4 linked regions of the Drosophila melanogaster genome follow. Changing the gene in region 4 together with the main gene of any one other region gives a genetic interaction. Each region holds a gene or a part of one and is shown on either strand. Other genes may lie near its edges.

The links.
Region 1: of fng (region 4) and InR, changing one suppresses a phenotype caused by changing the other (phenotypic suppression), as found in Drosophila melanogaster (one study listed by BioGRID).
Region 2: of fng (region 4) and Nsf2, changing one enhances a phenotype caused by changing the other (phenotypic enhancement), as found in Drosophila melanogaster (one study listed by BioGRID).
Region 3: of fng (region 4) and ap, changing one suppresses a phenotype caused by changing the other (phenotypic suppression), as found in Drosophila melanogaster (6 studies listed by BioGRID).

Annotation. Positions count from the first base shown.
Region 1 is NT_033777.3:21,615,320-21,623,061, reverse strand, and holds the start of InR (Insulin-like receptor), read left to right. Parts: upstream 1-3,740; 5' UTR 3,741-4,040; exon of another isoform or gene 4,041-4,335; intron 4,336-7,321; exon of another isoform or gene 7,322-7,742. Other genes in the region: E2f1 (E2F transcription factor 1), read left to right, coding at 1-250, 1,366-1,493. UniProt on the Drosophila melanogaster protein: Has a ligand-stimulated tyrosine-protein kinase activity. Binds 3 insulin-like peptide ligands.
Region 2 is NT_033777.3:13,830,094-13,839,796, reverse strand, and holds Nsf2 (N-ethylmaleimide-sensitive factor 2), read left to right. Parts: upstream 1-1,805; 5' UTR 1,806-1,884; coding exon 1,885-1,994; intron 1,995-2,094; coding exon 2,095-2,419; intron 2,420-3,054; coding exon 3,055-4,020; intron 4,021-4,259; coding exon 4,260-5,117; 3' UTR 5,118-6,300; downstream 6,301-9,703. Other genes in the region: CG31495 (uncharacterized protein), read left to right, coding at 1-1,023. UniProt on the Drosophila melanogaster protein: Required for vesicle-mediated transport. Catalyzes the fusion of transport vesicles within the Golgi cisternae. Is also required for transport from the endoplasmic reticulum to the Golgi stack.
Region 3 is NT_033778.4:5,722,625-5,730,370, forward strand, and holds the start of ap (apterous), read right to left. Parts: upstream 4,209-7,746; 5' UTR 3,236-4,208; coding exon 3,197-3,235; intron 1-3,196. UniProt on the Drosophila melanogaster protein: Required for the normal development of the wing and halter imaginal disks.
Region 4 is NT_037436.4:20,945,393-20,952,927, forward strand, and holds the start of fng (fringe), read right to left. Parts: upstream 4,121-7,535; 5' UTR 3,910-4,120; coding exon 3,778-3,909; intron 1-3,777. UniProt on the Drosophila melanogaster protein: Glycosyltransferase involved in the elongation of O-linked ligands to activate Notch signaling. Possesses fucose-specific beta-1,3-N-acetylglucosaminyltransferase activity; extends the O-linked fucose on the Notch EGF repeats.

The sequences.
Region 1 (7,742 bases), on a different chromosome or scaffold from region 4:
GCAAGCTCACTGCAGATGCAATTCGCTGCCGTCGCGGAGAGCAACAACGGCAGTAGCAGCGGCGGTGGTGGCGGCGGCGGCGGCTATGGCAGCATCGCTGGCGCTGGCGCCAACGCTGATCCCCATCAGCCGTACAGCCATGACCGCAACAGCCTGCCGCCCGGCGTGGCTGACTGCGATGCCAACAGCAACAGCAGCAGTGTCACGCTGCAGGGCCTCGATGCTCTCTTCAACGACATTGGCTCGGACTGTAAGTACTTGAGCAGCTAAGCGCCTAAAATAATAGTTGTAACGTATTGGCAAAGGTATACAAAGATGAAAGATACTTTGCAACATGTGTACATATCTTTGCAACCGATCATGCCTGCAACCGCCCGCCGAACATTCATTCATGATCATTTTGCATCCGCCTGTAACTCTTTTTGTAGTAAATATTTAAAGATACGCAGCTAACTGAGGTGCCTACGATGCATTTAGATCTATGTGAGGCGCACTTGTCAAGAACTTTCTCTGTGACCCGCGTGTACTTAAAAGCCGCATCACAGTCTGAGTTCTTGCTGAGTGCGAAATCCTCGAAGCAACATTAAGCGAAATCATGGGTCGATTCCAAAAAAGAACCTATATTTATTTTAAATTTTTCAATTTGTTTAATTTGTTTAATTTTTACAACCTTTCGGCCAACGAGAATCAGTTCAAAATTGCCAATTTGATTTTATTTTCATTTGCGTTTAATCGAATTCCTAACTCAAATGGAAAAAGAGCCAAAAAAAAGCAGGGCAAAATAAATTGAAGTGAAAGTGATATTATAGGCACTTCAACTCCTAAATATATATGTATATGTAAATAAATTTACAAAAAGTAAACCACCCAACCGACAACCCTATATATAACATTTATCATTGTGTTTCATTCACAACTTTTACTTTCACACTGTGCTAACAACGAAACGGTAACCATATACTAATAATATTAAATAATTGTGCATAAATGTATATATGTATATATATCGACATAAAACCCGCCGCCTCGTCAGCAATCGTCCTCGTGTCAAATTCATTTTGGAACTGAATTCTCGTGGGTCTGCACTGACAACACTGACCGCTCCAGGGCAAATTGTTCATTTTGAAATTGAAATTCTGTAGCACCATGAGATTCAGCTCTGGCGTGAATTTCAAACATGCATCCACAACATCTCTCGCTCTATCAGCTCTCAGCTCTCTCTCTCTCTCTCTCCTATTTTATGGTTGTCCAGATGAAATCGTCAAATAACCCAATGTAAAATCATATGCAGCCAGCCCAGCCCCGAACTGCAGAACATTTAGTAATGCCGGAATATTCAGTAATGTGTTGCATTCTTATTTACAGACTTCAGCAACGATATCGCCTTTGTGTCCATCAATCCGCCGGACGACAATGACTATCCGTATGCGCTGAACGCGAACGAGGGCATCGATCGGCTGTTTGACTTCGGTTCGGATGCCTATGGACCCTAAGAGGAGACGTCCACGAACACAATCACAACCACACACACACACACACACACATGTCTACAAAATTGGGATTCTGGGGGTGTTTATAATTTTAAATTATATACAAATGGCAAAAGAAAAAAAAAGATACAAAGCCAGCCAGCAAATTATTAAATTATTTGATTGCAAATACTAGAAGCCACAAAAAATCCAAAAACAAAACACAAAAAAAAGCGAATCAGCAAAACTTAATGAAACTAAGTTGTGTGTACAATTTTAAGCGTAAAAATATATACATTTAAATTTATAACCCAAACTAATTTAAGCGAAACAAAACGAAAACACAAAATCTACTTTACAAAAACTCAGCCTCACGAGAGAAATAGGGAGAAGTCGTAGCAAGAAGAGCCACATTTTATAAGCAAATTTTAATTTTAGCCTTTAAAAGAAAGCAAAAAGAATCAGGAATACTATTTAAACGATTGGATAACACACAAAAAATGCGAATACTTCCCTCTTATCAAACAACTTTTTGGGCTAGAACTGTCTGTAAATTAGTAAAAATAATACCAACACACACACACACACACACACTTATATAATTTTAAATTATAAAACAAAATAGTTGTAAAGCCAATCAACATTAAACAATAAAAAGAAAATCAATTTCAAATTGTAAAATATATCGAAGACATTTCAAATTAATATGGAGCAGTAGTAGAAGAGGAAGAGAACACTCCTGGGCCCCCAACAAGATGGCTTTGGTTCCTGTTTTAGTGACGCATGCAACAGAATCCTCTTCTCTTCATTTGCTTGGATTTATCGATTGATTTTTAATTATAATATTATTAAAGCTATAACTATGTATCATAATTTGTTATTGTTATAAAATTTAAACTGTAAACACACACATGGGCCCAATAGCAGTTTATTCATAGAAGCCAAATCATCCCACAAAACAAACAACCAACCACTTAACAGAGTCAACTACAAGTACATAAATAATTATTTAAACTCTCTCCTAGTAGTTATATATTTAACTAAACGATAGATAAAAGCAACAAACAAATGCAAATCATACAATTGTAAAAAAAAATCAATAAATAAACGAAGGAGAACCGCAACAAGCCGAAACCACTGTATAATTGTACGTTTAATTTTTATAAGAGAAAACACACTTGTTAGGTACTTTTCTTTCTTTCCAAAAACAAACACATGAAAAAAAGAGAAAATAAATATTACAAAAACGAAGGAAACTTTAAAATAAACAAAATAAATTTTTAAAACCGAATGTCTACTGTTTCAATTAAACTGAATATTTAAGTTTTTCAAGCCGAATTTAAATAAGGTGAAGTTTGCCATGGTCACAAGAAGTGTTTTTTGCTAACTTCTTTTTTAACTAAGCAATTTTGAATCATCATTTGAATGTTTTTGGTAAATATTATTTTTTATATTAATTATTTTTAATAAAGTATAAAGACTGTACTGTTTTATGCATCTTTTCAAAGATTTTTTTAAACACCAAGTTGAATTTTAAATATGTGATCCATTCCTTGGATTTTGATCATTTTACCCATGAGTAGTTAGCAGACTTGTCTGCATGTTTTAAAACGCCCGCCAACTGGGAAAGCAGTGCATTTTAATGCGCCCGCCAACTCGGAAAGCAGTAAAACGTAGCACTGCTTGCAATTTACGATATTCAAGTATGGCGCACTATCTTTAAACTTGAAACTTGCGTTTCTAAAAGCCAAACCCCAAAAAGCAGATCCTAGCGAAATATTTAAAATTGGTTTAAATTGGTTTTACAGCAGCTCCTAGTATTTGTAGTTAGTTAGTATTTATCACCTAGGCGGGGAGTTCAAGGAAATGATTATGCTTGATTGCATGGAAAGTAGATGCTCTTGGACAATGATTACATAAAAATATTTCCTATGTCATTAAGAAATCGACACAATAATAGCGCCATTATTTTATTATATTTTCTAAATTTTTCGAAAAAAAAGTGATCCAGAATGTAATATTTGCTAATGACATTATGCTCATATAAAAGTTTTTACAAATGGAATATCCGTTTTTAGTGCGCGAGGATTCAGTATTGGGCTTCATGGCGTGTTGGTAAACGAAGAGCTCTGCTATAGGTGGCGCGCTAGTGTAACAGCCGGCACTAACAGAGTTCTGTAAGCGGTCAAAAGACAGAGTTCGAAAACGACCGAACAGAGTTGGAAAACGCGCTAAACCGAAAATCGCGTATACAACAAGGGTAACGGCTGGCAGTGTTTCACGCGATTTCGAAACGTTGAGATCGTTGCCGCGGTCGCCGTGAATTGGAATTGTGAGTGTGTTCGTCGTGCGGAAAATCATCGCTGTCAAATAGAGGCCACAGTGAATTGCCGATACCTAATACTGTGCAAGGCGAAATTATGTGCCCCAGCATTTCGTGAATGAAAAGTGCGAAAATACAAAATACAGAGCAATAGTGCGAGGTCGGTGGAGTTCGAATTAAAGAAATTCCACGAAATACAAGTGCGGGCGATTCTCGTGTGCTGGCGAGAGTGCGGCTTGTCCGGGTGTGTGAGTAAAATTCACGGTAAATAAATAAATAAAATTTGTGTACACACACATACACACACACACGCGCGCTCTCCTATTATTTATATATACACAGCATGTTGTGAAGTTGCGGCGCAAAAAGAAAGCACGCGAATAAAACATAAGAAAATTTAATTACGCCTGCGTCTGGGAAAGTGCGTCGTTCTATTTTGAAATCGATACCAAAATAAAATACAAATAGAAATAAAAATCAAAAATTAGGTGACACAACAACAACTAGATCAACAATGCACGACAACAAAACCGTTGCAAAGGGGTATGTAACAAAAACAACAAATAATAATAAAATGAATAATAGTAGTGAGAACGTAACTAGGAAAATACTCGTGAAATTACTACGCAGCAGCAATTTATGCCAAGTTGTTTTTGCTCTCCTCCTCCTCCTCTCTCCGCCCGGTTCCTCTTGTTCCTTTTGTTGTTGTTCCATATCTATCATATCTTGGGCTGTTGTTGTTCTTCTTCTTCGCACACCGCTTTACGTCTCCGTTTTGTGAATGAGCGGCGCAGCCAACATTGTTCTCTTTTTCTCTCTCTCTCTGTCTCTCTGTCGTGCGGAGAGCGGCTGCGCGAAGAGAGGCGGAAAAGAAATGAAAGAATTTCGATTGCTGCCGGTTTTTGTTTTATTATTGTTGTTGTTGTTGTGCTGGTTTATTTTTTATTGTTGCACGCATTTTGAAAAGTGGTACAGATAAGTTTTCCATTGCATTAAATTAAGCCAGCACTAAAAGAGTAACTAACATTATTATTAAAAATAGTATTTCATGAAATTACTTAGTACTATTGCTAAAGACTGTCTCCTTATTGTCCTTGGTAAGTTTTAAAATTAATCATACAAGCGTCAATAAGAGCTATTCAATAGAATTTTATTAAATATTTATAGAATTAGTATAAATTATTAAAAAAAACAAAACAATAAACTTCAAAGAAGTGTCTTAGTCGACTTCCATTAAACACCCATACATTTTTCCTTAAAAGGCGCTTTAATATGTATGTTGCTCTCACCCCCTCTTCAGGACCACCTGCAAAACTCAATTTTTTATTTAATATTTCAAAAATAAAATTGAACTCACCTGTTGACTTGTCATGATTTTCAAACCTTTATAATTCTAAAGTTATACTTTGGAAAATGTGTTGTTTTTTAATGTATGGTGGACACCACACTTTCAGCGGTTGTCAAAAAGTCATGACAGTGCTGTTTTTTATTTTATTTTGGAGCTCGTAATTAGAGTGACCAAAATGCTGAGTAAACCAGCCAAATATATCCAGTACAATTTTAAAGCTCTCACTTGCTAAAACAAATCCCAAAAAGTTGATCAAACTATTTGCTCAAACTGTGACCTTATAAATCGGGTTTCTTTTTATCTTTAAGGTATATGTATAAGATATCCATTAAATTTAGTTTAATGGAGACTTTGTAAAAACGTTTGGAGCTTCTACAATGTTTTCATTTTATAAACATTAATTATTTAATGCCAACTTAAGCAGGTTGAGACTTTAATGACTTAAGTTGACATTAAAAGTGGGATATCCCTTTAAAAGAACGAGATAAAGATACACCCACGATTTACGGGCTTTTGATTTTGTGTTGTATCCGCAACGGAAGCAGATCAATAGATCGGGGGTCTGTGGGTGTACTGAAATAGTGATAAATGGGAAGATATTTCCCAAATAACTGGCGTGGAGATATTACGGGTAAGTGGTTTTGTGGGCGGGAAGGTGGAAAATGGGGAAATGTGGGGATGGGTCCGCTTGCTAATTAAAAAGCATAAGCACTAATTGGCGTGCCGCTGCGCTTGTTGTTGCTATTTGCGTTGCCGTTGAACTGCCCACTTGCTGTGCTCTTATTATATTCGCGTTATTATTGTATAATAAGAGAGAAATGCCATAAAAAATTGGGAGGTTGGGTTAAAACAACAGGCAAAACCGAAGTAGAAAAAAAAAACACCAGAGAATTGCGCATTTTTGTATTAATCATGCTATATTTTTGACGAGGCCCGAAGAATGTTGGCCAATGTATTTGTATTTGTGCGTAATTTATTTATTTTTAAATCGAGTTTGCCTGCCTGCTCTCTGTGCATTTGTGTGTGTGTGTGTGTGTGTGCGAGCATAAGTGCGAGTGTGTGTGCGTGCTGCGACAAAAATAAGTCGCCGCAATAACAAATTGCTGAAATAGAACCAAAATAAAGCAGAAGAACAGAAGAGATCTATAGAGGATGAGGCAATGACGGAACCCGGGCCAAGTTTGTTGTTGTTGCGCCTGCTTTTGTTTCTCTGTATTTTTATTATTTTATTTTTGTGCATGTTATTTCTGATATTGGCTTTTTAATGGTGTGGCTAAAAACCGGAAATTGTTTGTCCGGCTATTGTTGATGACGTATGACCATCGAGTTGTTGGCGGCTTTGGCGCATAATTTGGCCACACTAATTAACAGTGCCGAAACGAACAACAAAAACACACATGCCGCCACCAACACGAATGCCTTTTAAAGCGAGAAAAAACAAAAAAAATGCTCTGACCACATGTCTAAACGTAGCTGCGCGCAGGCCAGAAAGAGAGGGCACGATTGCCGAAAGAGAGTGGCCGGTGATAAGCCTGTATGTGTGTGTGTGTGAGCCGAGCGAGACAAACAGACAGGTGTCATTGACCTTTTTCGCTGCGAAACAGCACACACACACACACATTCACACAGCCAAACAATTTTGTGTGCACTTTTTTCAGCTGCGTTTGCTTCTTTTCCCTCTCCACCCTCTGCCCCTTTCGCACTCTTGCCCTGCTGCCGCTGCTGCTTTTTCTCCTTTGTTGTTGCTGCTGCCTTCACTGCTTATGCTGTGAACTGCTTGGCCTTGAACTTAGACGCGCGTCTTCTAATCGCTCCACACTCCCTCCGCTGCCACGCCCACACATGCATGCACGCACTGCGATGTTGTTGTTTTTGTATTTATTAATGGGACCAGGAATGGAGACGATTCGACATAATTAGTATGATAATTGAACGAAATATGTGTTTCAATTCATTCGTTTTATACCTTCCATAGAATTAATTTTCAATTGGTTTTAAAACAAAATTATAGTTTTCTGGTGCAATAGTATTAAATTTTTCTACTAATTTATTTAAGCGACTAGTTCTCAAATACAAGTTACAAATATGTATGCATGTACATGACCGATCACCAAGGTGATTGGGATCTCTCCTTCTTTATTGTTATTATTGCACTGAACAAGCTGTGCGTTTTGGATCATGCCCAAATTGGTATTAATTACGCAAGCCGTGTAGCTGCCATTTGTTTTGCCATTGCGAAATGCAACGTATTTGCAGTGAGTCAACTTGTTTTCGCTGTACCAGCCGCACTTAATTGTGTTTTTATTTGCATTCAACTCGCGGAAAATCGAATGAATCGGAATTGATTGTTCCAAGAAGCGATGCGAGGGCAGCCACAGTGATTCACATGGGGACTCGCATCTCTTAACCGCTCAACCCGCCATCCATACGTCCATCCAACTAGCCATCCATCCATCCGCGGCGCAGACATAGCCACCCACCACCCATCACCCATCATTATAAGCAGCTGCTCCCGAATCTTATCATGGGAAGAGGGTCTAAGGTCCAAGCAAATAATACCCAGCCGCAACAGCCATGGCAATAACAATAGTGCTGGCGACAG
Region 2 (9,703 bases), on a different chromosome or scaffold from region 4:
GTCAACATCACTTTACCCAACACTGAGGAGCGTGTGAACCTCTTAAAATCGCGCATCAACAGGCTGGGTGACATTACGGTGGCCGGCGATGTTTGCGCACGCGAAATTGCAATGAAAACCAAAAATTTCACGGAGGACGAGCTGTGCCAACTGGTCCGAGAAGCCCTCCATGAAGCCATTGTCCGCACTCACGTCACCAGATGCCCGAAGGGCCTTCAAGTCACTCAGGTCGATCTCCTGGCCGCGGTAAAGATCATTCAGCCACGATTTGGCCGGCAGGAGGAGACTCTCCAGCTGCTCATGCCATATGAATATCTAGATCGTACCGCTTTCGATCCGAATGATCTCCTGTCCACCGGACGCCCAAGATGGTCTTGCCATCTGGTCGAAGGTAAGCCCAAGTCAGGCCTAACTACGGTGGCCGCTCAAATGGCTTTGAAAACAGACTGCCCTTTTATAAAATACATCTCGTCGGCCGAATTGCTGGGACTTAGCGATTCCGAAAAATGCCAGAGAATACGGGAAGTCTTGGAGGACGCCTATGTTTCCAGGCGCAGCTGCGTCATCATTGACGACTTTGAGCGTGTCATTGGTTACGGCGCCCTGGGTAAGCGGTACTCCAAGGAGTTCCTGCAGAAGCTGACGGTTCTTCTGAAGAAACAACCGCCCAACAGCCACGAGCTCATCATCATTTGCACAAGCAATCGTCTCGATGTCCTGGAGGAACTGGGCTTGCTATCCGTTTTCACTTCAGTTCACAATGTGCCAAATGTTTCCACGCCTAAAGAACTTATGGTCATAGTGGAAGCTTCAAAACGATTCGAGCCCGAGGAGCTACGCCAAATCGAGATCGCCATGGATGGCCGCAACGTCTCCATTGGCATCAAACGGTTGCTTGACTTGATTGCGTGGGTGAATTCCCTAAATCCCGACCGTCGAGCTGCCAAATTGCTGAAGAAATTGGGCGAAGCAATGGGATGGGTAGGGAACCATTCTAGTCCACTTGTACCTCAATACATTTAAGACGTTAGGTTAGGAAATGCAATATTGTATCTACAATTCCAGGAAAATAATTCCAAGTGATTCCAAATAATTCAGTAATGCTTTATATTTAAAAGAACCACGTAAGCATAAAAAAACCATCTAAAAAAATAATATTGCATTATTTTTTGGATGAACTTGCTTCCATTGCATTGCAATGTTCTTAAGACTAAAATGAACAGCCCGATAATGTGATTGCAAAGATACTAGATTATTATATTATATATATATTATATATACACCAGGCCAGACCTCTCAGTGGCCTTCGCCTGCTGTACGGAGAGCATTCCGTCCTCCAGGAGTTCGGTGACCGGTGGGCCCAACATCTCCTGGGCTGCTCCAAAGGCGGGCTTGATGTCGTTGTCCAATATATATATATATACATAATTATATATATAATATATATTATATATTATATATATATATTATATTGTTCTAGTGTCTTTGGTGATTGGCATAACAAGTTTTATTACCATATTATATATATATAAGTAAAAATAAAGATATTTGAATTGCAAATGCCACCCATTTTATCGTTATTTACTTAGAGGATTTGGCTTTTGATACAACACATTTTTTGGATTGTTTTCTTCACCAATCCTGGTGCTGCAGAGCTGCTTAGCAACAGCGAAGAAGTCTTGAATGCGGGGGATATATGTATTATTAGAAAATGCAAATGCGCGCCAATGAATTCAAATTTGCACTGCAGGTGCCGTAGCAGGCATCTTTTGCTCGCAATCACAGTGCATACACACACGCAATGCCGAACAGGGTTGCACTCCCTCAACGGGCTATCAGCTGTTTGAGACAATTTCGGGATTATATTATAAAATTGCTACGAAAATGTCAATTGAAAAAGCCCACCGGATGAGAGCGATCAAATGCCCAACGGATGAGCTGTCCCTGACGAACAAGGCGATTGTGAATGTGTCCGATTTCACGGAGGAGGTCAAGTGAGTGTTGGTTTTTGTTGTTTTTCCACTTCCTACGTGGGCGTACGAGCCTATGGAAACTTTCGCTTATGCTAATGACGCACCGCTTGATACCCTGCAGATATGTGGACATCTCGCCGGGCCCGGGGCTGCACTACATCTTCGCGCTGGAGAAGATCAGCGGGCCGGAGCTGCCGCTCGGCCACGTCGGATTCTCGCTGGTCCAGCGCAAGTGGGCCACGCTCTCCATCAACCAGGAAATAGACGTGCGGCCGTACCGATTCGATGCCAGCGCCGATATCATCACACTGGTCTCCTTCGAGACGGACTTCCTGCAGAAGAAGACCACCACGCAGGAGCCCTACGACTCCGACGAGATGGCCAAGGAGTTCCTCATGCAGTTCGCCGGAATGCCGCTGACCGTCGGCCAAACGCTCGTCTTTCAGGTAATGGTGTGGATGTGGCTCCCCCATAAATGTATGCAGTATAGAAAAATAGATAGCAAAGGACTGAAACTAAGGTAGTAATCTGGAGAGGATTAGTGATATATGCCAGAGCCAGTTAAAATACTACCCAATTCAATGAGGGTTCTCGGTTTATCTCGGACGCACCTATTCATTATTTCACCATTTATTGTGTGCACTTATAATAATTTTGGTTTTGTATAACTTTACAAAAAGATTTATACGTTCATAGCATAGCGGTAGTGAGAATATTCGTTATTTGTGTTATTCGATATTCGTTATTTTATATTTACTGACGTGTCTTGATTGTCATGAGATGCTGAATCTCATATTCCACATTTAGACGGTGACCTAATGCAAATATTAACAAGGTAGCTTACCTCCAACAATTAGAAACCCAAAGACACGTAACTCTCCCTTAGATCATCTTTTTGGCTCTCTGCCAAATCTTTTTTAATAATTCAGCATACAATGTCCCCCTTTTTTATGAACTAAAAATAGTGTGTTAGGCTGCCCTCATAGGAAATGCAACTATCTTAACATAGTAATTCTTCTAACATGCTCCTTAATGTACATATATCGTTCGTTTGCTAATAAGGATGTTTACCGCCTTTCAGTTCAAAGACAAGAAATTCCTGGGCCTCGCTGTAAAAACGCTGGAGGCAGTGGATCCCCGAACAGTGGGCGATTCCCTACCGAAGACTCGGAACGTACGATTCGGCCGCATCCTCGGTAACACGGTGGTGCAGTTCGAGAAGGCCGAAAACTCTGTGCTAAATCTGCAGGGTCGCTCCAAGGGTAAGATCGTGCGGCAGTCCATCATAAATCCGGACTGGGACTTTGGCAAGATGGGCATTGGTGGCCTAGACAAAGAGTTCAATGCGATTTTCCGACGCGCCTTCGCCTCTCGTGTTTTTCCGCCGGAACTTGTCGAACAACTGGGCATCAAGCACGTTAAGGGTATTCTGTTGTACGGACCACCAGGCACGGGAAAAACCCTGATGGCCCGGCAAATAGGTACCATGCTGAATGCCCGCGAACCCAAGATCGTGAATGGACCGCAGATCCTGGACAAGTACGTGGGTGAATCAGAAGCCAATATCCGGCGACTGTTTGCCGAGGCCGAGGAGGAGGAAAAGCGCTTGGGACCGAACAGTGGACTGCACATCATCATCTTCGACGAGATCGACGCCATTTGCAAGGCTCGCGGATCCGTGGCCGGTAATAGTGGTGTCCACGACACGGTCGTCAATCAACTGCTAGCCAAGATCGACGGCGTGGAGCAGTTGAACAACATCCTGGTAATAGGAATGACCAACCGGCGGGACATGATCGATGAGGCCCTGCTGCGACCTGGACGCTTGGAAGTGCAAATGGAGATCAGCTTGCCCAACGAGCAGGGTCGCGTCCAGATCCTGAATATCCACACCAAGCGGATGCGTGACTTTAACAAGATAGCTAGCGATGTGGACAACAATGAGATCGCGGCCAAGACAAAGAACTTCAGTGGCGCAGAGTTGGAGGGTCTGGTTAGAGCGGCCCAATCCACGGCCATGAATCGGTTAATAAAGGCGGACTCCAAGGTATATGATGCACAGCATGGCGTGAAAGCAAAGAAAGGGGGTTCTCTTAATTCACATTCGGATCGAAATGTTATTTTATTTATTTGGCGTATTCGCTTATTTCATTTATCTCTCGGTTTGCGTTTCGGGTTTCGTTTAATTTCGAGTAATTTGGTTTCGATAAACCAAGAAAGCGATTAACGTTCGACTGTTCCACTATTCTAAAATTACCATCATCATTTGCTTTTCTACGATCCAAGGTTCACGTGGACCCGGAGGCTATGGAAAAACTGCGTGTTACGCGAGCCGACTTTCTGCACGCATTGGACAACGACATCAAGCCCGCCTTTGGAGCAGCCCAGGAGATGCTGGAAAATCTGCTGGCACGCGGAATTATAAACTGGGGCCCACCGGTCACCGAACTCCTGGAGGACGGAATGCTCTCCGTACAGCAGGCGAAGGCCACTGAGAGCTCTGGCCTGGTGTCTGTTCTCATCGAAGGAGCTCCCAACTCCGGCAAATCAGCGCTGGCCGCTAATCTGGCCCAGTTGAGTGATTTCCCATTCGTTAAGGTCTGCTCCCCGGAAGATATGGTAGGATTTACGGAGTCAGCCAAGTGCCTGCACATCCGCAAGATCTTCGACGACGCCTATCGCTCCACATTGAGCTGCATTGTGGTGGACAATGTGGAGCGATTGCTAGACTACGGTCCAATTGGACCCAGGTACTCTAATCTCACGCTGCAGGCGCTATTGGTTCTACTGAAAAAGCAACCGCCAAAGGGTAGAAAACTGCTGATCCTGTGCACTTCCAGCCGGCGGGACGTTCTCGAGGAGATGGAAATGCTCTCGGCTTTCACGTCCGTCCTGCATGTGTCCAATCTCTCAACTCCCGAGAACGTGCTTGCCGTGCTGGATGATTCTGATTTGTTTAGTCCCGAGGAGCTGCAGAGCATTGCCAGGAAAATGGCGGGTAAGCGATTGTGTATCGGCATCAAGAAGCTGCTGGCTCTCATCGATATGATCCGGCAATCGGAGCCTCACCAGCGGGTTATCAAGTTCCTCAGCAAAATGGAGGAGGAGGGCGGTCTGGAAATGGATAGGGTGCAAGGGCACTAGCTACGCCTTTAAATTAATTTACATTCCATTATCAAACAGCAGAGTGGTTCGATTTGATTGATTCAAACTGGAAAAACGGTTATGTGTTTACAATTAAAAATATATATATATGTATTAAAACAAAAAACCGTTACAAAAATACTTATAACCTTTTGGGAAAAAAGTACAACGTAATATAATATAATAATATATTCCCATATTTCAAAATATCTTACTTGCAGAGTGGGTTTCTATAAAATTCTATACTTTCGTGAAACTTTGAAATTAGTTGCCTTCAAGCCTAATACACAGAACCGGTGACCACTTTTATTGTTTATTAGGAAGTGTATAATTTTATAAACTCATATTCTGCAAATCGAAGAAATCGACCCACCCTAGTGCAATTTTATGATTGTGTTTTTTTTCCCGCTATCAAAAGGGAATCACAATGATAGGTTTCAGCTGCAATATAATATTCTAACGCTATACTTCGCTTAAGTTCCACTAAAAAAAAAAAAATATAATAAAGCGTAACTGAAGACCAACTTGTGAGATAAAGTCAAGTAATTTGTAAGTTTTGAATTTGATGATACCAACGAACTTAAAGTACTCGCATTAGCGACTAAGGATAATCCGTCGGTGTCCACCATGAAAATCTCAGTTTGAGTGCACAGACTTACATAGAGAATTTGATACCAACATGATGTATTTTATAAGGATTTTACGGATATTGCATTTACCATGATAAATAAAAAAGACAAAAATCCGATGATGCAGCCCTAATAGATTGATCTTTTAAATCAAAATTGAATTAAGATGCTTAAGCGTTATACCGATACTTAAGAACTATAATTCTGAAAGTTATTTTACAGAGCGCACAGTTTTGAATACGTGTGATTTTTATTTACATGACTTTTTACCAAAAACGAAAACAAATCATTTTTGTTATATTTTTCTTTACATCCATAAGTGAGATCACTTTGGGTTTGAAAACTAGCTAAAGAAGGTGCATGTCTTAGCTACAATTTCTGAATTTCGATCGAAGCTTTTCGAAAAACACGAAATATATGTGAATCATTTGTAAATGGATATGTCTTTTATGGATAAACTTGATGTGTACCAACGGGATAACAAACTAATTTATGTAATTTACCCAATAGCTAAAAATAAATGGAGTTTTCCCAAAGACTATGGTCTTTTTAATAAGAACGGCTGAAACGATCTTTAGTCAAAAATATATATAATGCAAATTGATTGATTGCCTTTTCTTTTCGTTCCAGGACACATTAGTTCCCTTGGTAGTTTCGGAGTGTAGCAGCTTGAATTCTTTGAAAACTCCTATTTATTTAAATATTGTTTTTTCTCGGCGATCGCCGCCCGACAGCTGTCCGCTTGGAAGGCGTCAAGTGGTTATCATACCATGTACTCACCCGATCCGATCCGATCAGTCCGATCCATCGATCAGCTGTTCGCGACAAGATCCGACGCCGGAACCCAATCAGAGCAGTGGTCAGCTTGGCCGAGGTGCTGACCACAGCCAGTCGGTCGGCGTAATATGCAATTTGAATAAATGATTTATAATGAAAACACCTTAGCGGCGCGTCGTCTGCGTATACGTAATGTGGAGCGGAGTGGAGTGCCACACTGCTCGGTAATTGATATATGGCGCTAATTGCGCTCGACGCCCATTTGTGGTCCAGTCCAGCTTTATCAGCGGCAGTCGTCTGAGGAATCCTGGGTAGCCATAGCCATAGCCAACAGTCATGGTAGCACCCAAAGCCATGGCCATGTCGCGACGGTGTCAGCTGCTAGTCAGCGCCACTTATTAACTAATTAAAGCTGCATATTTGCAAAGATCTGAAAATTGATTTGCATTGCCAATTGCCCCTGGAACTGCTCGACACAATCATGATTTTGCCCAAAGGGTAGGGGAAATTCTGGACATCGTGATCGTAAAGATTTTCACACTCCAAATATACATTGTAAATGTAAGGACTATTAGTAAGTCTACGTATAATTGAAACTATATGAAAAGCAACATGATTACTAGGGTATGCCCCTGCATAAGACTTACATTTTAGTCTAATGCCTTATTGGTCATGTGCAATACTTGTGATTTTATAACCCTTAGATGGGTTAAATTGGCATGCCCACAAGGTTTTTAAGCTTTTATAGTTTATAAATGTTCCAAAAGGTGCATTTGATTTGATTTTTTTATTTAAGACATACGATTTATACCAACAAATATTAAAGACGAGCTTTGCATCTTTATTTCTGCGGACTGTGACCGAGTAAGGATCCTGTCCGTAATTAGCACTTGGCAAGTGCGTCCGAATCGCAGGAAAAGTCACCCACCCACCCGGCAATCGATGGGTAATTATAATTCGCGGATTTGGGGCCCGGCCAGCGCGTCAGTGAGCGGTCGCTCACGTATGCAAAACGCTTGGTGACGAAAGTCCAGTCGGACAAAGATCAACGACCGGGCCAAAAAGCAAAGCTGCGCTGCCGGCAGCAGGAGCCAAAATTAAAACCGAAACGGATTTTCATTCACCGCCTGTAAAAATAACGAAACTCTTACAAATTCGTTTTTTTTTTTTGTTATTAATTATTAAAGCCAGCAGCGGCGCACTCTCTGCACTTGTGAAAAGTCAATTCTCCGGCGCACAGTGTATCATAGTGTATTATTTTGCTACATAAGTCTTTATTATTAAATCTTCTTTAGTGTTTTTGTTTTAAATGAATAATGAAACTTAAAGTATCTATAAAAATTCCTAGAAATACACTAAATATTAAGTAAATATTATTAAAAAATACGTGTACGTACGCCTTTAACACCATTTTTATTATTTCTTTTTTTATTCTAAATCACTGTGCGCAGTCGCGCCTCTCGTAAACTTTGAAACCGGCCCGGCTTAGTTGTTTTTGTTGCTGCTTAAAAGCGCAAACGCCGGCAGCGAAGGTTCGATTTCACTTTCGCACGGTGTCCCCTACCCCTCGCTTCTTTCTCCCTCTCGCACCAGCGGACCACCCCCTGACCGGCTACAGCTCCCCCCCCCCACCTCACCCTTCGCCCCACGAGCTGGCGGCCCATCTGGGGTGTCATGTTTTGAGCTCTTTACGAGCGGACGACGCTCTCACCTGCTTTCTTTCGCACAGAGCTTGTGCTTTCGCTCTCGGATCTTCGATCTTCGATCATCAATATGCGCGATCTCCGATCTGCGAACTGCGATCTTCCATCTCGCATCTGCGATATCTCAAGCTATCCAGAGAAGATGATGCGCTTTTCCAGCAGATTCGTACCATCGATTCGTTTGAATCGACATGGTGATCTACAGATATTTTGGCGCCACATGCAAATCCCACGGAAAATTGTCAAAGCACTGAAAAAAACAGGTATGCTGAATAATTTTCAATAACACGCTTGATTGTTTGAGTTTCCACAATGTCAACTTTTGTATTTGTACTTTTTAAAGAAATATAATACCTATGGATACCTGGAATTGCCTTAATTATATGCCCTATTTTTTTTCCAGTGATTGCAAAACTTACAAGCGTGCATATACATATGTACTTTCAGCAGCTCGGGGAAAATGTAAAGCGAATACAAAACAAACATCATGGAAAATCTTCCTGCATTACACAAACGCGGAAGATTTTCCTCGTACTCGCACATTTCATGGTTTTTCCAAAGCTCAACTAGCATTTTCGTGGCATTTCCATTGATGTTTTCGAGCTCTTTTTCCTTCTGCGCTTGTGTGTGTGGTAGTTAGCATGCGAAACTCGCAGATAAATTAGTATTTTTTGGCGCTGCCTAAGCTACAATTTTACACTGCGACTGTTTTGGGTTTTTTCTTGGCTTTGGTTTCGGTTTCGCTCTTCGCCTGGTTTTTTTTTCATTCATTTCATTTTCCCCTTTGCAATTTATAATTGAGTTGCAATTTGGCTGGCAACTATCTGTGGAATGCAGAGGGGCGCGGGGGCGGACTTTTCGCGGAACTTGCATGCGTATTAGTCATCAACTGAGTGGGGAATAAAAAACGCATTGGTCGAAAAATTTGGCAAGAAAATGGGGAATTAACCCACCTAGCAAGCTGCTCTTAAGAATGAGTTGAATATTTCATTACCAATTTGTCAGAATTTACTTTTGTAGCTATCATTTTTTCAATATTTTGATGGCGATTTTATCTGAGTATGTACACAACTATTTAAAGGATTAAATGTATTCGTCTAAGGATGAGCTGTGGCAGATATCACTAGAGAAAATGATATGATGCACAGAAATACCGCCTAGGCACTCGAGGGTTAAACACAAGTATGTATTAATATGCCATTTATAGCCTAAACACAAGACACAACCCCCGATATTACACACAAACTTCGTAAAGGAGAAGAAAAAACGAGGCACGATCAAAAGGAGGTACAAATCAAAACGCAGAATCAGAATCCGGGGCAAAAAGCTCGAAACTCGAAATCTGAAATCTGTGAAAATGTTGCCGCACGCGATCGAGACATTCGCATTTCATTTCATTTCATTTTATTTCAATTCATTTCGATTCATTGATACCGGTGCAGAAAAACATGGGCGAAAAGAGCGGCCCAGTTCCAAA
Region 3 (7,746 bases), on a different chromosome or scaffold from region 4:
ATCCTGGAGGGTATTTTTTTAAAGGCTATTATTATTATTATTGTTGCTATTCGTTTAAAGCTGAGTCATGCAAGCTGATGTTGTTAGGGAAATTAAAATCAGTAGAAAACCTTATATCGGTAGGTATACCTACCGATATAAGCTTGTCTACTGATTTTAATTAATATATATATATATATATATATATATAGTGACGTCCCATACTCAACAAGAAGGGGTACATAAAATGTTTTGATCATATCTCAAATCTATTCAATTAAAGTTTGACTTTAAATATAATTAATCACTGTTTTAGTTAATGTATTTACATTGTTTTAATAGGGATTATATCAAAGTTGAGAATAGTGAAAGTAATAAAATGTAAGGTAACGAAAGTAATTTTTACGACTAACACTTGTTTCATGTTTTATTCGTAGTATTCGTAATAATCGCAAGTAATTGTCAAAAGGACAGAAATAATGGCATTTCCGGAAAGCTATGTGCCCTGCACAACTTGACGATCTGAACAAAGAATTGAGGCTTTTAGGAACACGTTATGGCTGTTTTTATTGTTAGTTATTTTAAAACGGTTCCATCGAAACCAAAACATACAATAGATGTATGTTTTCTGTGCCAATCTATTATAAAACGTTTAGACAATGAGTTGTAACATATTATTCACCTGATGAAGGTTGCTCTGCATAGTGAACCAAATTGCAGATAAGTGGCAAAAAGTACAATATTACAGATACCGAGCTAAACAACTAATATACCACTACAAATATTCAAACAACTTTTAAGCTTATTTGGCCACTCTGTAGACAGAAAGCACTTACTTCAAAAAAATGTCTGTGTTTTTCTAGCTATATCAAATGATACATTTGTAAGTTCCTAATTTGAAGTTCCTAACATTGTCGATCCACAGTCATCAAACAGAGTATATCGGATGTGTACGTATAATAATAATAATACGTTATAATAACGTATAATAATATAATAAGCACCGTTAATGCCTAACATTATTGTAAAATACATTAAAGATCGAAAAAGTTTCTACTATTTTAAAGAATATAAGAATCGCAAACATATGTATGTATATGATACTTAGTGCACTAAAAATATTTTTATTGTGTTAATTTGCCAAGCGCACAATATCAAGCAAATTTCCCCTTGTATTTATTCACATTAAAATTGAGTTTTTGTAGAAAAAATTGAATTGAATTAAAATTGAGTTTTGTAACAAACTTAACAATAGGACTTATTGATGTTTCCGATATTTTGATTACGGGCAAATGACAGCTACAAAAAAATGTATTTGAATTCGTTGTCTATTTCTCGCTATTGGATATCGGTTACTCAGCTAGGCAGACTGCGAAAAATAAATTTCAATTTTTTTGCATATCGAAAGAAATTGGAAAAAAAATTAAGACGAATGATAAGTTAGAAAGGGTGTGTTAAAAATTTTCTTGGTATTACAATACATACATAAAACGGAAATATACCAAAACATTTTCATCAAGATGGGCGTGGCCGCTTTGGGCTGTTTGTGCATGTCAAAGAGTTTTTTGGCAAATCGGTAAAAATTTAAAGACTTATAAAACATGAAAAATATCAAAACATATTTCAAAAGCGTATTTCTTGGCGGTTTAAATTTAAATTTTTGTTCATTTTATTCACCGATATCTAACGATATTCCAGCAAAATGATGAAATGTTGCGTTTTCATTCCCACTAGCTGAGTAACGGGTATCTGATAGTTGGGGAACTCGACTTTTATATATAAAAAGAAATGTACAAAAATAAAAATTTGAAAAAAAAAACTCTAAAATTACTTTTATAAAATTTTTAATAGTCCGAATTTAATCAATTTCGTAACTTGATCGATGTGCCGAATTTATCAGGTAAACACATCATCAACACATTTTCGAATACTTTAGGAAGAAAGAATTTTGAGATATGGGAGTTTGTTTTAGTGGACTTGGAAATACTTTAAAACGGCAGTACAATATGAATGTTCAAGACTAGGTTTCAGCTTTTACAATTCCTAAAACGTTTAAAAGGACGGACGGTTGGACGAATAAAAGAACGGACAGGCGGACATGGCCAGATCAACTCGGCTATTGACCTTAATCAAGGATATCCCTTATAAGGGTCGGTAACCCTTCCATCTGTCTGTTACATACTTTTCAACGAATGTTTCATACCATTTTACTCTTCCAATTTATTTACGATTTTCCTATTCTTATACAATACAATCTTATACAATTCTTGTACAATATATAGATGTGGTATATATAGACTAGAATTCGAATACTCGTACATCTCGATTTACAGTAATCGATGACATTTGGAAAACATACAAAAGATGGGAATTAAAACAAACACACAGATTTCAAACACCAAAGTTGTAAAGTAACAAAAAATTGTTTGCATAAAGTATAAGGAATGCGTTATGTTTCAAAATAGGAATAGCAATTAAAAATGACAAAATCAAAAATAGGTAAAAGATGTTCATGTAACTCATCAAGGCAATTCGTTCTTTTCAAAAAAATGGTACAAGAATATCTCTGTGTGGTAGAAAATGCCTTATTCGCGTTAAAAATTAGTATTTGAAGGTCAATTGACTACTATTAAAATATATCAAATTGGTATATATTGGCACACGGTGATTATTCTCTAAAACTGAATACGTTCGCGTCGAATATCAGATATATACAAAAATTTCGTAAAAACGTACATATTTGTTTTACCTGTATTTTGATTTCTACATATCTATTAATTTTTTTGCACGACTATGCCGCCCAATTTGATTGTATATTGATTAGTACGACTATCATCAAAAATCTGCCTTCTTAAACATTAAATGATTCTAACCTAAGTTAGATGAATAAAAATTAAGGCAGGGAATCACATTGAAATTTTGTAACCGCGTTCTACAGCAATGTTTCAACGAGCGAACTAGCCACTGATTGAACACTTCTGGGAACTGTTTTTAATCTGAAATGCCCAAGCGGCTTTCTTATCGATATTGAGTGGGGCTGTCTGTTGATAGGCAAGCTTTCAGTCTGGTATTGATAACTCCGAGTAACCCAGGCTCGGATCAATATTAATCACAAAGGGCAGAGTTTGGGTGAGCTGGGACGGACTGGTGGATGACTTATTTTTTAGTCTTATCGCTGGTAACTTTGGATTTTATGTGCTACGGCGGCAGAACTTACCCAATGCATCACAGGGCGCTCCTCGGTGCAGACGCCCATGTGCGTCTTTTGGAATGACACGAGGTCTATTTCCAAGGATGATGTCCGTCGGTCGTGTTATGTTTGTCGTTGTGTAGGCTGTGCGTTGTGTCTTGCGAGCCTTATGCCTCCTTAAAAGGGCTGCGGTGCTACGTTGGTCTTGGGTAATCCTCTACACCCCGGCTAGATGTGCTATTGGACACTTGACACTGGCCACGATTAGATGCCCGGCTAGGCTCGCCGGTAATAAGTGTGCGCACAACTTGATCTATTACTTTGCGGACATGCATCACTTCGGCGTTGTCTTAGAGATTGACACCATTGGCTTGCCTTTTCTTATTGCACAAACTACGATTTGAATGCCGCTTTTTTTAAACTTTCTCCTTAGCACCAAGGTAATATAAGGAACATAGGGTCACACACTCACTAAAACACTTGACTCGGCGGCAGGTAGGATATTTGTATTGATTAGAAACCGCCCCTGTATCTCGAGCGCAAAGGCGTTTTCGGACCGCTGACGACCACCGGTTAGCGTAAGAAATCTAAAGTTAATTTATGACATTAATTTACGAGACAGCGCGAGAATGGCACATCAGATCCAAATTGAGTGGTAAAGGTCGGCCTTTGTCGGGCTCTTCCTACGACACTCGACGATGCCTGTTACTGATAAGGCATTAGAGACAGAGGCGCGTATGCGTATGCGGCTGTGCTCCCTTGTGTTGTTGTTTATGACCGGGCAGGCGATTACCGATCCAACTTCAGTTTTGTATCCGTTTCGCCAACTCCCTGTTTCTGTGTCGATTCTCCTTCGATCCAGTTCTGGCAAACCGAAACTACAGCCGAGCTCAAGTCAAAACAAAAATCGAATACGCGCACCGCTTCCAAAAACAAAAACCGACTCAAATTCGAAACTCGACTACCGACTTTGGTCTGCAGCTGATCTACTCAAAATCGTGAGGACAACCAGCCGTCGCAGCTGAAAAACTGGGAATGTTTGGACGCTGTGCGAGCGCAGCGCCAGAAGCCAAAAAACTCCACCGCCCCGTTCGCCGTGTGTTTGCGTGCGTGATGTGCGCGCGCCAGTGTGAGTGAGTGCGATGTCGCGCATGAGCTGCCATCCTGCTTGCACACACGCTCATTCCGCAGCTCTCACGTAGTGGCAAATGGCGGCGCTCTCAGCTGATAGCGTCAGTAGCTCGTTCCCGCTCTAGAGCACAGCCAGTAGACGAAGAGGGCGTGGTGTTCTATCCGCGCTCTCGCACCAGCCGAAATCGCCTCCCCACGCACCGCCCACCGGACAGTTGGCCGGCTGCAAAACGTGAATAAGGCAGCGGTAGCAGCAGTCAGGAGGAGTATAAGCTGTGCGCCAGACGCCACATGAATGAGGATGGACTCCAGACTCGAACTGGAAGCTGCGAGCGGAGTCCGTGACAGGAATTCCAACTCGCAGAGGACGAACAGTGGTCTGAGGACGCACAGGGGAACGAACTCTCACACCAGCGGGTCTTCGGTTGACTCTGCTGATTCTTTAGTTGTGTAATGAAAAGATGCATGGTGTCTATATATGCCGTCTTCATGCTGAAAACATCATGCAGAAAAGTTGTAACTAACTTACTGAGAGCTATTTATTGTGTTTTCGTATGCTGACGCTATAAATGTTGAAAGAATATAGGTTCGTTTGACAGGTGTATTTATAATTCTCAACCAGTTCAAACGCTACCAGCACTACGCCCAAGTTGTCGCCTGCTTCCAATAAGAACTGTCATCATAGAACCTTGCTGTCACTTCTCCTTTAATTCCGCACAAGCTTGAAACAAAGTGCACACAAATCTCCAAATGGCTTAGGGAGCAGATTTAACGTTAAATACTTTTATTGCAGTTACAGCTATAAATATTCAGCTTTTGTGGTATGCATTCACTATGATTCCACAAATGTTTGACATTTTGAGTGTTTTGCCGGTTGTAACTTACATATATTTGGCAAGTTTTGGTTGAGGTTACGGTTACATTTTAATAATGTAAAATATTTGCCATTAACTGCAATGCATTTTCAGAATTTCAACCAGCTTACGTTGATTCAATCGTTGAAAAAGAAATTTTTTTAAGTGTAATTGTTAATATACTTCTGCTGTTACATACATAAGTTCGCCGCTGCTTTTTGAACTCTTCGCAGAAAGTTTTAAAACATGTATTACGTATTTGAAATGTTTGTGCGACTTAGCCTTCGCATTTAACTTTATTTTTGGGCAAAATGTTTCACCTCGTTGTTGCTATTGTTGCTTGTTGACTTAAGAGGGCTTTCAAAGAACCCCGGTTAAGTCGGAACTGATTGGGTGGATTGGTTGTGGACGTCGGCACAGATTTTGGGTCCTTATTCCTTACGAATATACACAGCTGAATTCTCATGATTTTAATATTGACAAGAGTAAATGCGAATACATGCAGTATTTTCAGACCATTATAATTGGTACAGTGCCTCATAATAATTTGTTTATAGATTCTTTTAAATTTTACATCTTTTTTTATTGTAAACAGGCCCATCTTACAAAAGTGCGTAAAATATACTAATACATTATAAGAGATGGGCACATAAGGACAAAATAACGGTAACAGTAATCATTGGTAAAACATTGGTGTATAAACCGATTTGATCTTTAATAATTGTAGATTTATGTATAATAAACGTTAATCATGTTATGTGATTATTAGAAAATATAACCATCTCATCCCTCTGTTAGAATTCTACTCTACAATACGTAATAAGGGTATACTGAATTCGTGGCAGTTAAGTTTTCTTTAGTCAACATCTAACGAAATACTAAAAATATGTAGTTCGAGTCACTCCGATACTTTTGAAGTTTTTAGATACCATAAATATAATAAGTGGTAAGTGTAAAAGAAGGGGGCAGGAACCTGTCTCCCTCGAAGTTAATTTGGCTAAGTAAGGGATATCTAATAGACGACGAACTCGACTATAAAAAAAAATTATAATACTTACTTGAATAAAAATAATATTATAAATTATCCTTTCGAAAGAGTCAAGAATGGCACTCCAAAATACAGCTTAGTAATAAAAAAAAAAAAACACCATGACGGATAGCTACCAGAGGCAACCTAGCCAATTAAGAATTTTTTTTTTTGTCAAAAATTGTCAATCCGTACTTCACAGATGTTTTAAAACTGAATATTCCCTTAATAACTCATATTTAAAATTTCAAAATTGGGTATCCTACGACGTCATGGGCGATATTTCAATTTTCTCAAACACAGTAAAATAATAGAATATTTTACAAATAAAATGTATGTACCTACAAATATAATCCTCATTTCTTGGGTATATTGTTTTTTCTGACTAATGACAGAGCGCATTGACCCAAGCTGACAAATATTTTAGCTTACAAATTAAAAAAATTTTTAATTGTTGCATCGCTGGGGTTTTGCTAATAGAATTTTCGAGGCCGCAGAGAAACTAAGCTCTCTGCCTCCATATGGGGCAGACAGAAAGAAGTAGGGACAGATGGACGTGTTAAATGATCTCGGATTTTGAAAGTGATCATGATATATAAACTTGCTAAGTTGCTAAGTATCATTCTACCCGTTATATGCTTTACAAATACCTTTTCTTCTAAGCCAATTCTTAGTTTCAAGGATAAACAAGAGAGAATGCTCTAGTCGGCTAGTGAGAATGCGAACGGGGAATTTCATAATTTAGCTGGGATACCGACAGATATTTGTGAATTAAAGCTCCCTTCTACCTGTTACATACTTTTCAATAAACACAATATACCCCTTTCCTGTAAAATAACGGGCATAACTAGAGTCAAGACATGTATATGATACAACTTACAGATAATGATATTTCAAGTGCCTCGACTATTGGATAATAAAACAGATAAAAGCAGATTAAATTAATTATTTATTAATTATTAATAATTTCAAAAAACTCTTTGGGCTACCGATAGAAGTTAGCAAGATAAGTAATGAAGTCTGAAATTATCAAAACATATTTTAAAGCGGGGGTGTAGCAGTTTTGGGCGGTGTGTGGGCGTGACAAGAAGTTTATTGACAAAATGAAAGAAATTTACAACACTAATAAAGATATGAATATATTAAAACATATTGCAAAAGTGTGGGCGTGGCAGTTTTGGGTGGCTTGTGGGCGTTAGAGAAGGCGTTGCAACATTTGGAACAAACTTCCGGAGCGTCTATATATATGCAAGGCGCATGCTTAATCGCAACATTCTAGCTCTCACAGTTCCTGAGATCGATATTGGGTCAGATCGACTCGGCTATTGATCGCGATCAAGAATATATACACTTTATATGGTCTCACATGCTTCCTTCTACCTTTCAACGAATCTGGTATACCCTTTTACTCTACTTTTAACGGGTATAACAACGTTTATTTGATGAATTTCTTTAATACCCGTTATTCGTATACAACATTCGTCAAATGTAACAGGTAGAGATCATTCGATCAATATGTCGAACTGGTCATGCCCGTCTGCCCATCCGTTCGCCCTCCCACTACC
Region 4 (7,535 bases):
ATGCAAATCAAGTACACGGACTACGGACTATGAAAACAGCAATGCCTTGTGACACTTTTGTGGGATTTGCGAATTACTCGAACGTGATGAAACTGAACAAGCACCGATACAGATACATATTCACAGTTGCGGATTCTGATTCAGATTCAGCTGGAGATACATAAACACGTGTGCCCATATATGCAGGCCGCCTGCGGATTTTGACAACTACAATAAGCCAAATTGAAGTAAAAACTTTTAGAAAAGAATACACTTTAACCACACACATCAAAAAAGCTAATTGGCTAATATGTAAGCAAGCACTTTATATGGAATACATTTTTGGTAAACTACCCTTGCACCATTATTCTTATTTCGTATTTTCTAATAGAACTCAAATTTTTTCTTCAAATGTACAGCCTACAACATACAAGTGCCGGGTGAAAGGTGATTCAATAGATATAAAATCCCAAAACAAATTTAACACGGTCCGCACAATAGCAACAGCTGCCCCCCACTACGCCCACTCGAATGACTAATGCTTCATTAGCCGCGTGATTAATATGTTTATAAACATTTCCATGTCAATTAATAACGAGCAAACCATAAGAATCGAGCGAAGAGGTGCGAGTGAATAATATGAAAGGGCGCCAAATGGAATCTACCCCTCTCAGGCGACCTTTGGGAAGATTAATTGAGTTAAACTCTGGTCGCCATAACGGAAAGCATAAATCAGCGAAATCGAACAAATCAAAGGCATTCCCGAAAAAATGCAATCAGAACCGTTCGTTCGCCTCCAGCTGGGCGAGCGGGAAAATCTTCATTAAATGCTGTTTAACAATATTATCCGTAAGATACGAATCTAAGATAAGATACACACAACAACAACAACAACAACAACAGCAGCAGCTCAGCAGCCAGGCATCCGAGCATCCAGGCTCAATTAAGCGACCACCAAAAGATACCCAGATACCCAGATATGGGTATCTTTTACTCGGTTGCCCAGCTGCAGATACTACTCCTTTTATCAGGCGCCTTCCGCGGCTTAATGTCGTCAACTTTTTCGGGCTGATTACGTGAGCGGCGGGCAGAAGGAGGGCTTTGTGGATCGAGGGGCCACGGAAAGGTAGCTGCAACCAGCTGCATTAAGTTGGCCATGGGAAGTGAAGAGCAAGCACCTGCTTTTGGCCTGGCCAAAAACAGGAATCACATCATCATCATCATCATCATCGTGGTCTTTGTCTCTCGGGCTGCCTCGAAGGCTTCTTGTGGCTGTTGCTTTCCTCAAGCTGATTTGCATGCTCCTCAGCTTAGGAGTTTGTTAATGTTATTATGTATTTACCATGCACTCGTCAAAAATATTTGAAAGTCCATACTGGAAAATAAATTCGGATATCTTAGAAGAAGAATTAGATGTCATTACAGAAAAAATCTATATTGTGCACGTTCATAAATGCACGTAAGTAATCTACTATCCATATCGATGTGTCATCGGTAAGCTGATCACAGTGTAGCCACAACAAACTACTCAAATCAATCAGCGACTGGTGGCCATTTGGCGCGCCACTTTAAAGAAATTCATAAACAAGCAAATCGTTTGACGATTATTATTCATTTCGTTTCATTTATGATTTATGCGTCAGCAACACGCGACATGCCAACCTGGCGACCTGGCGACGTGAGCTGCAACTGGACATGAGACATCAGATACTGGGAATCTTGGATAGGCAGGGTTGTGGGGCTGATGGAGACCCCCATGACAATACCCCCGCCCCGCCCCCGCCCGATTTCGAAATTATTGCTTTATCAGGCGAATGCCAAGCCCAGTTTAGCGCGAGTATGTGTCCAGTCGACTGTTTAGCTGTTCAACAGTTCGAAGAATCGAGCCAAGCCAAGTCATGTCAAGTCAACAAGCAGCACTTTTTGCGCAACATTTAGGAACAAAAAGAGAACACTCATATACGAAGTACGAAAAGAATTAAGCAAATTGTACGCGGCATGCAGTTTTTAAACTGGGACAAGTCACAGACCTCCGATGGAACAGAACTTCAATTGAAAAGACAAACAACAGTACAGCAGTTGTCGACAGTTTTTTATCCGGCTCAGTATTTAGTAGTGCGATGTGTGTGTAGCACTAATTCCTGCCAAGTTTCCGGTTAGCCCCAGAACACAAAAATAAAAAAAAGAGTAGAGCAACTGGAAGAGCCACAACGTCAACAGCATTGTCCGAATTAAAACAACATAAAGTTTTTAATTACACTAGCAGCAGCATGCGAAAACATTACAGGGGAGCCTCCACAAACTCGCCTCGAAGCCTCGAAGTTGGGCAATTGAGTTGCAAATTGAGAAGCCGGAAGGTGGTGAAGGGCAAGGGGATTACATGGATATTTTTGAGGATGCTGCAGCTGATTCAATTATGAGCTCTTAACTCTATTGCCAGCGGCTCGAATCACTAATATTATGAAATTTGTAAGCCTTAGTTAGGGAGCTGTAACAGTTGAAGGTATAACTACAGCAGTAGGGTTCATTTAACAAAAATCGAACTATATAAAGAAATGTTGGAAGAAAACTTTGAGGAATCTGTATATGCAACTGATTAAAAATATGTGCACTATTTTCTTATGGCGTCGTTTCATTTAAAGTTTTTAAAATATGATAATCCTAGAAGGTGGACACATAGTTCGAATTTCAAGGGTTCTAAAAATAGCCTGTTCGCATAAAACCCTGCCAAAAAGTGTTTGCAATGCAATAGGAGGCTAACTAAGGCCATTCCCACGGACCTCAACTATTTGTTATCTGTGATGCAACTGACAAGGTTTTCCACTGGACGAGTCCATTGAGATTCACCTCCATGAGATCCCCCCTCGCAGCGCACACCTTGGTAATATTAGCACACAATATTTTATTACACAAAAATTTATGCAAAAATCAAGAGTAAGAAGAGAACAATAATAAATGGGCAGAGCAGACAGGGCTCAGAACCCTGACAGGCCCTGGAATCAGGCAACTGAAAGCTTTGGCGACGCTCTGCCGACGGCAAACCAAGAAATTCAGGAACGGTTGACTGGATCTTCGGTAATCGAAACTGGGAATACTCTTGTGGGAATTGGAAAGTATTGGTGATTTTCAAAAATATATTCCAAGTGCCTAATGGTATGATTTTAGGATTTTAATAATGTCTCGATAATGCGAGCCGATCTTTGAACATCAACTTTAACAGAATTACATTCTCTTGTCCTTAAATCAATCAAATATAAGCTTAATTGTAAAAAAAAAAAACAAATAAATTCAGGATCATATTTCCATTTTTGAAACAAACCACTAAGCTAGGCACTACCTCTACATAAACTTCTGCACAATTTCTAAAGCAATCAAGTCCTTAGTTCCAAATGAATTCCCCGTGATACCGATCCCCATCCAATCACCAATCGTAGGGTATATCCTTTTAAAACGCTTCCTCGCCGAAATTTGTGTTCAATTATGATACCCCCTATTAGGGTATAAAAGCGCAAAAAGCCAAGCACCGAAACTGTTTTATATGCAAGGCAAGGGCGTAAAAGGTTTTTTTAACGGCCAAAGCCGCAGCTGCAAAACTCAAGTCGCCGGCGTTGATTTATGAAAGTGCACGAGTCGACGTCGATCGGGATCGGAATCAAAGGGGGATAATGCAAATTGCCTGGCCTTTGCAGCTTTGCAACTTATGCAGATCAGTGCGGAGCACACACGTTTGACAGTTTCGCAGCGCTAACAACACCCACGCAAGCTGGATTATGTCGCCCACTCGAACTCGCAACTCACTTGGATGCCCGGATATCCGTAGGCGCTCTGGTAGAGCAGTAGGGTCATATAGACGACGGCGACGGCTAACATCATGGCTTGCAGGATTCGCTTAAAACGTTGCGGTGGCGAGAGCACAGTCAGGCTCATCATACGGTTACGGACCACTACGCGCACATTGAAGCACCGCCGATTTGATCACTGGGTAGGTTTTATATTCCAATATTAGCTGGTTCTTTTCCTGGATCGTATGAATTCTGCTCGATTTCTGAAATTACGATATCTTTTAAGTTTATTTCGATTTCGATATCGCAGCACGCGCGCACTGACGTCTTGCTTGTGGCAAGCTTGAAAAGCAACTGATTGTGGTAGCGCGATCTACTCTTCTCTTCTTCCAGCGAAAATCGTAAACAAAACAAAAACCAGAAAGACCAGTAAGCGGTGAGAGTAGCGAGAGAGAAAGAGAGAGAGAGAATTCCCTTTGAGCTGGTCCAATTGGAAACGTTAGCTGCTCCAATGGGAGCAGCTGGCGCTCTCTCTTCGATCGCGCTCGCTCTCATCCTCTCTCTTTAGCTTGTGCCACAGTAGCTGCCGAAGGCAATTTTCATGTGCTCGTGTGTCGACCCCCACTCAGCCCACTTCTGATCGGAATCGGGGATTCGGAATCGTGTAAGGCAGCCTTTGAAGGTCCCTTTTCCAGGTGGCGGCCGTATCCTTAAAGTAAACATAGTTCAACTGACTTGGCAGCGCTCCAAATGCGGTGACTTCTTGGCTATGTCATATATACCCCCACTCCCCTCCTGACTACCCTGCCACGCCCCACCGCCCACCGTCGGCGACGACAATTCCATTAAAAGTTGTACGTTGTCACTTTGCGTTAACTTATCTGTGGAGCATGTTGTGCGATCGCATTTTTATTGTCGCCATTGTCTCTCGCTCTCTCCATCGCTCTTTCGCCTGGCTTCCCTACCCTGCCCACACAGGGAAGCCTACACACTCTTAAATCATGCACTTGGAACAAAAAGTGCAAGCATTAAACTTTATTTAAACATTCAAGAGCCGCTCCTCTATTTACCATTGAAATTTTATTTCAAATAGAGAGGTCTTTTCAGATTATATTATACCTTTAAGTGGCTTAGAAATAGTTAGACAGTGTATTTATGGATAAGTAATTAATTTAACTAAAAAATACAAACAGAAGAATTCTTTTACAATAATTTCAAACTACTAATTTCTACATCCCTTTCTCGCTCCGTGCATCAAATGCATCCACATCTCACGTGCGTCGGCAGCGTTCTGCGACGTTTCTTTGTCGCTCGGTTTTTGTGTAGCACTTGGCCTGCTCCCCACTTGACAATGCTTTGCATGCCAGGCACCATCCAGCAGTATCTTCCCGTTCCTCCTCCTCTTGCTGCTCTCAGCCCATTCAGCTCGATCCCATTCCATCCCAATCCGAATCCCATCCTACTCCTCACCAGCTTGTCATATTCCATGTTTGTGGCGGCGACAAAAGCTTTTGCGGACACCTCTGCCCGCGTCGACTGCGCTGCCCGCACAATCAGCAACTCGGCATCTTGTTCGCTGTCCCTTTGTGCGCCTTTCGCCTGAATTGCATTAAGCAGAGTCGGCGGAGCACTGCAAGAAAATAGTGAATTCGTATTTAATTCGGTAAGAGAACAGCATAAAAATGTAAACTTTTATCGCCTTGTGTCAGCTGAAAAATCTATCCAACCCTTAATAGTTTAATGTTTTAGATTATTTAAGACTGAGCCCTTTAAATACAAAAGCTTAGCATAAATTTAGAACCATCGACAATTACCCAGGGGCTTTAAAACTGTTTAACTTAAGTGGCCATTGTGTGTACCCAAATGAGCAAGCAAAATCAATTGGCCTTCACAGTGTTTTAATTATTTTTATTAGTTTATTATTATGTCAGTATGATTTTTCTACCGGTGCAGAGACGGTGGTAGCGGCGACGCAGGCCATTCCAACCTTGTTCTGCCACAGAAAAAGACATCGCTCGGCTGGAATCAGCCGCCCGCTTGCCACGAAACCCTCGGAACCCACTTCCCATTCCTCCGTATTCCGCCCACTCCCATTGCTCATTTTTAATGTGCAATTCCGTATGTACAGTTCGTAGCCATGGCCACCATTCCGCTCCGTATAAGTGTGTGTGTGTGTGTGTGTTTGCATAGCAGCTTGGTTGCCGGTTAGGCATGTGCCACCTCCAGCTGCAAGCTGCCTGTTCCAAGTTCCGATCCCCAGCCTCCAACTTCGGCTGCAACTTCAACTGCATCTTCAACTGCAACTTCAGCTGAAAAGCCCAGATCACAACCTAGCCTTATAACCAAACGAGTGCAGCTCCGTTTATCGGGCGGCCTAACCTTGTTAGGATTGTAAAATGTAAACCGAAGGCGTTGCCACGGACTCAGTGCTCAACTCGGACTTACACATCCCAAACCATTTTAAGATCTCCATAAAAATTAAAAAATAATTGTTCAATAACACTTTTGAAAATACCATACAACTTCGCATGCAGCTTGCAGCACAACAAAAATGTTTTCTGAAATGGTTTCACCTTTAAAAATAATTTGAAATCACTTTTTTTCAGTGTAGCCTAGCTCTAGCTTCTCAACTGATCGGCTGGGCATCCAGATAAAATTTCGCTCGGCTGGCACACGCTCAAGTTGCCTCCATCCGCGTCCTCGTCTTGGTCCTCAACCACGGTCATCGTTAATCGAAAACGGGCTGCGCCGTCGCCCTGCGGTTACGAGTGTCGCCAGGCCAAAGCGAGCCGCAGATGGAGCGGAGGATGCGAATGGTGATGGGGATGGAGCAGGGTAGGAACGAGAGTGCTTTCAGGGCATCAACGAAGGGGCCTTTAAGCCTGGCCAACAACTGTGCGCGTGCGCAGAACCGCCAACCTGGCAATGTGTTCATTTCGGTACCATATTTCGTTCGGTGGTGCAGGAATTATGCCCGGTAGTCATGCAGCTCCAGCAACTCATGCAGCAATACACCGCGAAATAAACCTGAATATTTTATTAGCTCAGCATTTAAATAACTTTTTTGTTTTAAAAGCAATTATTTCCCTTTCAACGGAAATCTGCACTTAGATTGAATAGATGAATGAGGATAAAAGTCATGTCGTAAAAATTGTGCCAAATAAAAATTGTTAATAAAAAATGATAACTATAAATATTAGTTACTTGGAACATACGTTTTAATCGCCAAACATATTTCTCCTGGTGCTTTCGCTAATCGCGAGGAGGTCGAAATTAAAGCGAGTATTTGACTGACGGACCGACGCAGTCTCTGTGGCCGAAGTGAGTGACTAGTTGACTGCCAGACACGCGGCTTGATTGGACGCCTTGTCCACGTCGGCATCCAGATTCAAATCCACGTCCAAGTCCACGACCGCACTCGGCTCAATGTCCGCGGAAATGGGGAACGGGAATGGGTGGGCTCTATGAAAATCGGAATGGGCTCTTAGTACTGCACACTGGGCTTAGAAATGGAGGCAAAGTAGGAACACCAAACGACCGACACCCAAGCGAGACGCAGCGGTCACACATTCGTCATGGAGACTGTTGGGCCACAATTGCGGTCAAAATAATAGCACTTATCTGCTGGTAGTATTTTAAGAATATGTGCATGAATAACAGTAACAAAAATAATAGTTATATTTAAAATATATACCTATACGTGCTGACCTAGAAGTGTGTCTCCTGTTGTGTTGCACATCCATCCATGTAAACATGCACTATTCGCATTCGATT